Saccharomyces cerevisiae S288C: one gene and its partner. The gene in region 1 interacts genetically with each later gene. Each region holds a gene or a part of one and is shown in the gene's direction. Other genes may lie near its edges.

Region 1 (5,944 bases):
ATATATATATATATTTCCGTGTGTGTACAACATATTTCATCAGTAGTCTTGTACTTGACCACACACGGAACTGAAATGAAACTTTAACGGCAACAATTCAATAATAGTTGCTCTTAGATCTCCGTACAAGGAATGGTTAATTTCCGTATTTTCAGGTGGCATCAATACCATAATGTGTGAGTGCCAGCAAAAGATAGTTTTACAGGCGGTTCCTGCATTGCTTTCTGAGAGGGATGATCTGAAAACTATCCGTCGAAGACGCATAAGCGCGTCCGCTATTTTAGTAACGATTAGTAATCGAGCATTTAAAATTGACATTATTGGATAAAAAGAATACGTTATATCGGCCGGAGGATCCAACTTTAGTAGAAATAGAAAGATTTGCCGCGCAGACTATCATTTTCAGTTTAAATCCTCCACAGTATCAGAGTAGGCATCAAGGATGCCTTCCTTTGCTGGTACTCTGGGAAAATGTACCAGTTGGCAACGCAGGCGAACCAATAAACGAAGATTTCGGTCATTTGTTTTGCCGTCTGACCTTCTCAATTAGATTATGTCTTGGCAATTATACGAAGCTTGTGATTTTAAAAATGAGCCATGAGCTTGTTCGGAGAAGAGTCGCCTAAGGTACAGTGTGCACAGTTTTGCTTTTCAACGATGAATGCTTGAGCGTGGCGAAGAAAACCTTGCGGGCTTTTCGAAAATGTAAGGAATAAAAATGAAGTTTCCTGATTTATAAGCAAGCAATCACTGAACGAGAATATCTTGTAGTTAAGTGACTATCAAACGAGCATGAGGGTTACAAAGAACTTCCGTTTCAAAAATGAATATAATCGTACGTTTACCTTGTGGCAGCACTAGCTAACGCTACGTGAATGAACGTACCGTGCCCTATTATTCTTGCTTGTGCTATCTCAAGAATTGCATTTTGTAATAACAACTGCATGGGAAAAATTATATAGATTTTCTACTATTATGTCCGCCTAAGTCAGTTAACCATCTTTATCACAAAATATACAATTAACCAACTACTTAATCAATTCGGTTATATTGCTTAGTATATACGTCTTTGGCACGCGATTGAAACGCGCTAATTGCATCAGCCTATCTTTCTATGCAAGAATGCAAGAAAAATTGATGTGATGTGCCTTATCACAATTCATTACCTCCTATTTCCTCTGCAGCAACAAGTTTCCTTGATTATAAAGGTCTTTAGCGTGAGAGGTACAGGTGTTATGGCACGTGCGAATAAGGGCAGAAATTAATCAAATTTATCAACTATTTGGCGATGGCTCGAGACAGGTATAGAACCACTACTAGGTGATATTGAGGCTTTTGTACAATTTATAGCAAGTTTTTGAGAGTCCCTTCAAGTTTGTTACATAATCTTCTTTGTGCAACGTACAAGAGCAAAGTAGAAAAATTTGGTTTTTATTTTTTTAAGCAACATCAGCTGCACTAGTTGAGCTTTTGACAAGACATACTGCTCAAAAAATCTTCATAACATTATTTTTCGGTTCCACAGTGATTGAGCTTTTTGAGAGAATAACCCTTTGGAGGCAACATAGATAGATAAACGTGCAATGAAATTCGGCAAGTATTTGGAAGCCAGGCAGTTGGAACTGGCGGAGTACAACAGCCATTTTATTGATTATAAGGCTCTAAAGAAACTTATCAAACAATTGGCCATTCCCACGCTAAAGGCTAGTTCAGATTTAGATTTGCATTTAACATTAGATGACATCGACGAAAAAATTATACATCAGAGACTGCAAGAAAATAAAGCTGCCTTTTTTTTTAAACTAGAGAGGGAGCTGGAAAAAGTAAATGGTTATTATTTGGCGAGAGAGTCCGATTTAAGAATAAAATTCAATATATTACACTCAAAATATAAAGATTATAAGATAAATGGTAAGCTAAACTCAAACCAAGCTACCTCATTTAAAAACTTATATGCGGCTTTCAAAAAGTTTCAAAAGGATCTTAGAAATTTGGAGCAGTATGTTGAGTTAAATAAAACGGGATTTTCAAAAGCTCTGAAGAAATGGGACAAGAGATCTCAATCTCACGATAAAGATTTTTACCTTGCTACTGTTGTTTCCATTCAACCAATTTTTACCAGAGATGGGCCACTAAAATTAAACGATGAAACTTTACATATTCTCTTAGAGCTGAATGATATTGACAACAACAATAGAAGGGCAGACATACAATCCAGTACGTTTACTAATGACGATGATGACGACAATAATACCAGCAACAATAATAAACACAATAATAATAATAACAATAATAATAACAACAACAACAACAACAATAATAATAACATATTACACAATAATTATGAATTAACAACATCAAAGATTTCGGAAAACCAACTTGAACATCTTTTTCAAGCATCTTCCTCCTCCTTGGACATGGAGATGGAAATCGAAAACTGGTATAAGGAAATTTTGAATATAGCCACGGTGAAAGATGTTCAAAGAAAGCATGCACTACTAAGAAACTTCAGAGAAACCAAGATATTCACATATCTGCTACAAAATTCCTCAGAATCTTTTCATAAAAATGTCTTTTCTTTGTTGAAGGAGTGCTTAACGACGCTGTTTTTATTACTGGTGGCTAGTCCTTTGGACGATAACTCTCTGCATATTTTCTATAAAAGCAATCAGGATCATATTGATCTGTCATATTGTGACGAAGATGATCAAGTATTTTCACGAAAAAACGTATTTCACGAGGCTGCAAGTTGTCCAGAAAAATCACGCTTATTTATTCTAGATGAGGCTTTAACAACATCAAAGTTATCTAAAGAAACAGTACAAAAACTACTGAATGCCCAAGATATACATTCGCGGGTGCCGCTACATTATGCTGCAGAGCTAGGAAAACTGGAATTTGTTCACTCGTTGCTAATCACCAATCTTTTAGAGGACGTTGATCCCATTGATAGTGATTCTAAGACACCCTTGGTTTTGGCTATCACTAACAACCACATAGATGTTGTTAGGGATCTGCTGACTATTGGTGGTGCGAACGCATCACCCATTGAAAAGCCAATTCTGGATTATAGTAAGAATGTAATCAGCTCTACTAAAGTCCAGTTCGATCCTTTAAATGTTGCTTGTAAATTTAATAATCATGACGCCGCCAAGTTACTTTTAGAAATTCGGAGTAAGCAAAATGCTGATAATGCCAAGAACAAAAGTTCACAACACTTGTGTCAACCGCTTTTCAAAAAGAACTCAACAGGTTTATGCACTCTTCATATAGTGGCAAAAATTGGCGGCGATCCACAATTAATTCAACTATTGATACGTTATGGGGCGGATCCCAACGAAATTGATGGGTTTAATAAATGGACGCCCATTTTTTACGCTGTTCGTTCAGGTCATTCTGAAGTTATTACTGAACTATTGAAACATAATGCACGTCTGGATATTGAAGATGACAACGGCCATTCGCCACTTTTTTACGCCTTATGGGAGAGCCACGTTGATGTTTTGAATGCACTTTTACAAAGACCATTAAATTTGCCATCTGCACCCCTGAATGAAATAAATTCGCAGTCTAGTACGCAACGCCTTAATACAATAGATTTAACCCCAAATGATGACAAATTTGATTTAGACATTCAAGATAGCATTCCGGATTTTGCTTTACCACCGCCAATCATTCCACTAAGGAAATATGGTCATAATTTTTTGGAGAAAAAAATTTTCATCAAATTAAAGTTGAGGCCAGGTCTCGAGTCTATCAAGTTGACTCAGGATAACGGCATTATTATGTCATCATCACCAGGCAGAATTACTTTATCCTCAAACTTACCTGAAATAATACCGCGAAATGTTATTTTACCTGTTAGATCTGGCGAAATTAATAACTTTTGTAAGGATATCAGTGAAACAAATGATGAAGAAGATGATGATGAAATTAGTGAAGATCATGATGATGGAGAGATAATTTTCCAAGTAGATTCAATCGACGATTTTTCAATGGATTTCGAGATATTTCCTTCATTTGGCACAAGGATAATTGCCAAAACAACGGCAATGCCATTCCTTTTCAAGAAGGTGGCAATAAATAGTATTGCAACCATGAATTTACCCTTATTCGACACAAGACTAAATAATATTGGATCTCTCACTTTGGATTACCAAATTATTTTTCCTTATCCGGGAAATCCACTGAAAATCATAAATTATGAGCCGTATTGGAAATCTACAGGAAGTGATTTAATGACCTCTAGTAAAGACGGTAATTTTGTTACTTCTTCATCGTTGAATGGCAGTTTTATTAGTGTATTAGTTTGCGCTCTGAATGATGAAACCATAGTGGCTGCGCCAAAACCATACGTTGAATTCAAAGGCACGAAGATTCTGTTAAATGATTTAACGAAAGAACAATTGGAAAAGGTAGTGGATTATGACTTCGGTAAAATTGATGGAAGCTTCGATGAAGTAACATTGAAACAATACTTATCTTCGAGAGTGGTGCCTCTCAGAAGCCTACTAGAAGTTATTCCCGGGTCAGCCCAGCTGGTAATTCGTGTATATTTTCCTACAGATAAGGAAATTGACACAATTCCCATCAAAATATCGCCATTTATAAATATCAATCAATTCATTGATAAGCTTTTACTAATCATTTTCGAGCATGAACGTTTTTTGCGTCACAGCGGAAGTGGGAGTATGCGCCAAATAGTTTTCAGTTCATGCAATTGGGAAGCTTGCTCGATCCTTAACTGGAAACAACCCAATTTTCCGGTTTTGTTGCAAATGAAAAATCTACTCAGAGATTCAACCACAGGCAAATTTGTAGGTGATACTCCTAATTGTTTAAAGGAACTGGCCGTAAATCCTCAAAAAATGTCGTATTTAAACACGGAACTAATAAACATACATACAATGGTTCAATTTGCTATGAACAATAATTTGTTAGGTGTAACGCTTCCATATGAAGTACTGAAGATATGCCCGTCGTTGGCTAGGATCATCAAACAAAACGGACTACTGTTGATTGCATCGGTCGGGGAAAATGACCAAATACCAGCTGATGGAGGTTACAGCGGGATCTACTACGCTTGTGAGTTGCTTTTTGAGAATAATATTGATATGTAAAGTTCTGTAATATGTAGTTTTGAAATCTTATACATTATTTAGGAAAAACTTTTTAACCTGTTCATTAAGGGCAACATCTTCTGCCTTAGCGCCTTTATTATCTACAAGATCATATTCTGCACCATACTTTTCCACCAACAATACAGCTGCGTCACCGTGCCCTTCAGCCAAAGCATGAAATAGTGGGGTCCAACCCTGCTTATCCTGCCAATTTACAGCGCTTTTGCCCAAACCGCATAATAGTTCAATTAATTTCAAAGAACCCACCGACGCAGCTCTATGCAATGGAATTTGATTAAATTTATCTTTAATTCTTACGGACGCACCATTTTCAATTAAAAATTGGGATACTTCAAACCATTTCTTACCAACTGCCAAGTGCAAGCATGTAACTCCTTGATTGGTTATCTTATTTAGATCAGGCTTTAGAGGTCTGTCGTAAAGAGACTTTACCACCTCCAAATTCCCCACTGAACAAGCAATATGGAAAGGTGTCCATCCAGAATCATCTGGATAATCATCTAAGTTAACATTTTCCATTTTAGAAAGCAAAAAACTGGTAATTTCATGTGCTTGGAAAGAAACTGACCAGTGTAAAGGGATTCTGCCATCCTGGTCCTTCTGTAGCAACAAGGAAGGTTTGGAGTGTAGCAGCTCTTGTACCTTGAAAAACTCATTTTCCATGCAGGCTTGATGCAAAGGATAATTAGACATGGTTATACAGTTTTAAGGGCATGCATTTATGTAGCATTTATTATCACAGCTTCAGCTGATCGTTCTTTAAAGAACCCTTTTATGAAGGGCCCTTCGATCATACTTGACAG
Region 2 (3,605 bases), on another chromosome or scaffold:
ACTTTATCTTCTATGAGTCATCTATATATTTTCTCGTCTCATTGGACTAGATGCTATCTATCTTTACCGCTTTCTTTAGACCGCGCACAGCTTTAGCGAACAGTCCCCTAGAAATTTCACTTTTGCTTACTAAATGTTCAGTAGATAAGCAATGCCATTTAAATGATTTCCTTGGAAGATATGAACAATAATTCACACTTATAGAAGGGAAGCAATTCCAATTGTACAAAATATGATCACATCACTTCTTAAATGCTTCCCTTGATTAAAGAGCATAGCACTTGTTGGTTTACTACAATTAGTTTTGCATTTACAGCCAATCATACAGATATTGTAAAACTTGCTCCATAGTCGCTTTGGTATATCAATCTAATAGAACTAAATAGCCTCGCTGGTCTGGAAGACTAAAGAATAATCAAGTTTTTTCTTTATGCAAGAATCAAAAGAACCACAAAATAAATTTGAAGGTTGTCAAAGAATATCTTCATCTTCATCCACACTCTTTGGAGGAACCTCCTTCGAGGAACCGAGATGTGGAACATCCCAAGGAAAGGAAGAAGACGCTTTCGCATGCAATAATGGAGATCACTGCTCGAGCATAACGAATGTTCAGGAAGATGACTTTGTCCTTCCAGAACTATTGCCGTCATTCGAAATGTATGAAAATTTGCTCAGCAATATACCTCAATCTAGTTTCGATACATACTTTCCGGAGAATCCACCTTTTTATGAGGTTGCTTCCCGAAATCAGAGTATTCCTTCGGAAGGTGAGTCTGGGAATGATATGCGGATTCTTACCGGTGATATCGTTGGCCCAGATAATCATGAAGTGACTGTTGATGGCCGCCGGTTTGCTTCCGGCCCTGCTGAGTCTCAAATTCGTAATTATGATGATACTAAAGGTATCCCAGTTGAGAATATATACGCATTGCCTAGGATTAAAACCCCCATAGCGACTGAATTGTACGTCACAAAGACGGCTCCAAAATTTGGACAGCTTCCTAAACACGAGAGCATGCTAAGGGAATACACCTCTGGGGATATAATTCACGGTTATTTCACTGTAGAAAACAAATCAACCAAACCTATAAAATTCGATATGTTTTATTTAACTTTGGAAGGTACGACAAGTTCAAAAACACAGTCACCCTTTGGAATCCAAAAAACGACAGAAAGAATTTTGAGAATGGTAGATATGGCAGCGAGTTGGTCATATAATCATGAAGACGTGAACACGGGGGAAGACCTTTGTGGATTTTTTGACTCCATTGATAAAACAAGCTTTGGATTACCGAATAGCAGGATACTAAATCCAGGTGATAAACGTAAGAAATTTTTCACTTTTAAAATTCCGAACCAGTTATTAGACGTAACCTGTAAGCACGGTCACTTCTCTCACTCTCTTTTGCCCCCTACATTAGGGTTTGATAGACCATCGAGTTCTCATCCAGAGCTTTCTACTCTAAAATTTTCGGAGAGTTTAGGTTATGGTCGTTTGTCAGAAAGAGGTTCCTCACTATGGTTAAACGACAGTTCTAGTGGCAGCTTAATAAATTACTCAATAAATGCTATGATAGTAGGCAAAGACGTAGCTTCTGGGCGTGTTTGTTTAATGAGTGAAAAAAAGTATAGCATAAGGATAGTTCCATTTGGCTTTCAAAACAATCCAATTAGTAGGGAGAAGTGCCTCAAAGACTTAGAGGATTTCGATATTGAAATTGCAAACAGGCTTGGAATGATCGAAAAAGTCTTTTCTAAAATAGAGCGAGCGATTCCCATTCATAAGGAGGACATACAGGAGGCGAATCGCTCTGATCAACTATCACCCCTAAGAGGTAAGTATGAATGGAACGCGGTAGCTGGAAATACTGAAAACGGAACACTTAAAAAGAAACACTAGTCTGAAGAAGATAAAATTCAAACTGAAATTACTTACTCTATAGCATCTCTCTTCAACACAGGTCTGAAAAATGTGTTTCTCAAAAGTGTGCGTAATATTCCTTCATCTCAACCAGATGATCCCACTTCAAAGACTAACTCAGAGAAAATTGGGCTTATAACAATAAAAATAAAGCCCCCTAGTAATGCTTTGCCATATTGGTGTCCAAATCTAATTCAAAAACAAAATGTATTTTCAATGAGAAACAGGCAGAATCAAAAGAACTGGACTAATTTAAGAGGTCTATTGTCCGTTGAAGAGAGAGAAAAACTAGAAAATTTACGGCTTGAACTAGTATGTATGCAAGCTGCTAATAGTATTCCACATGACCCACCGGAAATCAGTAGTCTGGAGACGGAATTGATTTGCTTAACAACGAACACAAAAGATTGCAAACCAGTGAGGTTCCACAGTGATTTACTTTTAAAGAAGCACAAATACAATGAAATTAAGAAAATATTTAAGGAAATTTTGGAAAACATTGAAGCATATCGCGATGAGTTCACTAAAAATCAAACAAAAATAAACTTACTTCTTGCCGATGACGCAAGAGCTAGCCTGCGTAATAGATCGCTCGATTTTTCTGATTTAATGCCTTCGAGTATAATTAAGGACGTACAGGTTTTAGCCAATATGGAAGCCAATGTTGTTGTCATGAAAAATGCGTTGAAAACGAAGTTGGTTGGAGAGAAAAGTGTGCCTGTTGCTTCTTCTCCTATATCCAGCATAATTCCTCGAACTTCTAGGAATAAAAAAACCTCCCCATCAAACTATCACCATTCGGTACTTTCACATCGGAAATCAAATGAATGGAATCAGGTCAGTTCAACTGAGTATAAGAGAACACTGTTATTGAATATAAAATATAATGATGATTTTAAAGCTACCATAGTGCCAAGTTTTGAAAGTTGTTTATGCTCGAGGTCATATTTCCTCCGCGTAAAACTTCATTTTGATAAAGGTGTTGGATCTGCTGAAATTGATATCCCAGTTCAAGTTAAAAACTCTTTTATTTGATAGATGGCTGTTAAAAAGAATGGTTTCACTGACGAAGTTTTTATCGCTATTGATATTACAGTATCATTACTGATAAACACCTTAGTTCTTGCAGAACTGAAAGTGATAAAGCAAGGAAACAGTGCGCAGTAGCAATCTCTTTTACGATTGTTCTGCGTTTGCCAAGGTATTCTCAAAATACTTTAAGTACTAAAAACCTAAATAATCTCTATACATAGAACTTTGAATTTTCATTGTTTAAAAAAATGTACGGAACTGCTAAGAAAATGTACAAGGTAGTGAAAGCCCACAGAGAGGTACATTTCAAGTGATAAACTTTGCTTTTTAGATTTGAAAATGTGAAATCTTACCACTCTTTAAAGCGACCATACTAGTAATAACGCAGGAATAGTACCACTAAATGGGTTGCCATCAATTTTATGCGCTGTAAGCTGCGCATATGTTTCCTACTTAAGGTTATAAGCATAGAACTGGCCTTTCCTTCAGCAAAAGAATAGAATAAGCCTGCTTGCCAAGAGAACTTGCTCGATAGCGGAGTGCTAGCTATTTTATGACCAATTTGGTATTTGCTGGCATATTTTTGAAAGATCTGGCTTTCTTTTCTTTTTTTCTCCCCTTTTTACCTGAACCTTGTTACCGAGTTCAGCTG

Evidence for each region.
Region 2: mutations in PHO81 (region 1) and YNR068C together harm fitness more than expected from each alone (negative genetic interaction), as found in Saccharomyces cerevisiae (one large-scale study listed by BioGRID).

The regions. Positions count from the first base shown.
Region 1 is NC_001139.9:953,850-959,793, reverse strand, and holds PHO81 (Pho81p), read left to right. Parts: upstream 1-1,583; coding exon 1,584-5,120; downstream 5,121-5,944. Other genes in the region: NAS6 (Nas6p), read right to left, coding at 5,148-5,834. UniProt on the Saccharomyces cerevisiae protein: Inhibits the kinase activity of the cyclin-CDKs PHO80-PHO85 and PCL7-PHO85 under low-phosphate conditions.
Region 2 is NC_001146.8:759,418-763,022, reverse strand, and holds YNR068C (uncharacterized protein), read left to right. Parts: upstream 1-2,137; coding exon 2,138-2,956; downstream 2,957-3,605. Other genes in the region: BSC5 (Bsc5p), read left to right, coding at 431-1,900.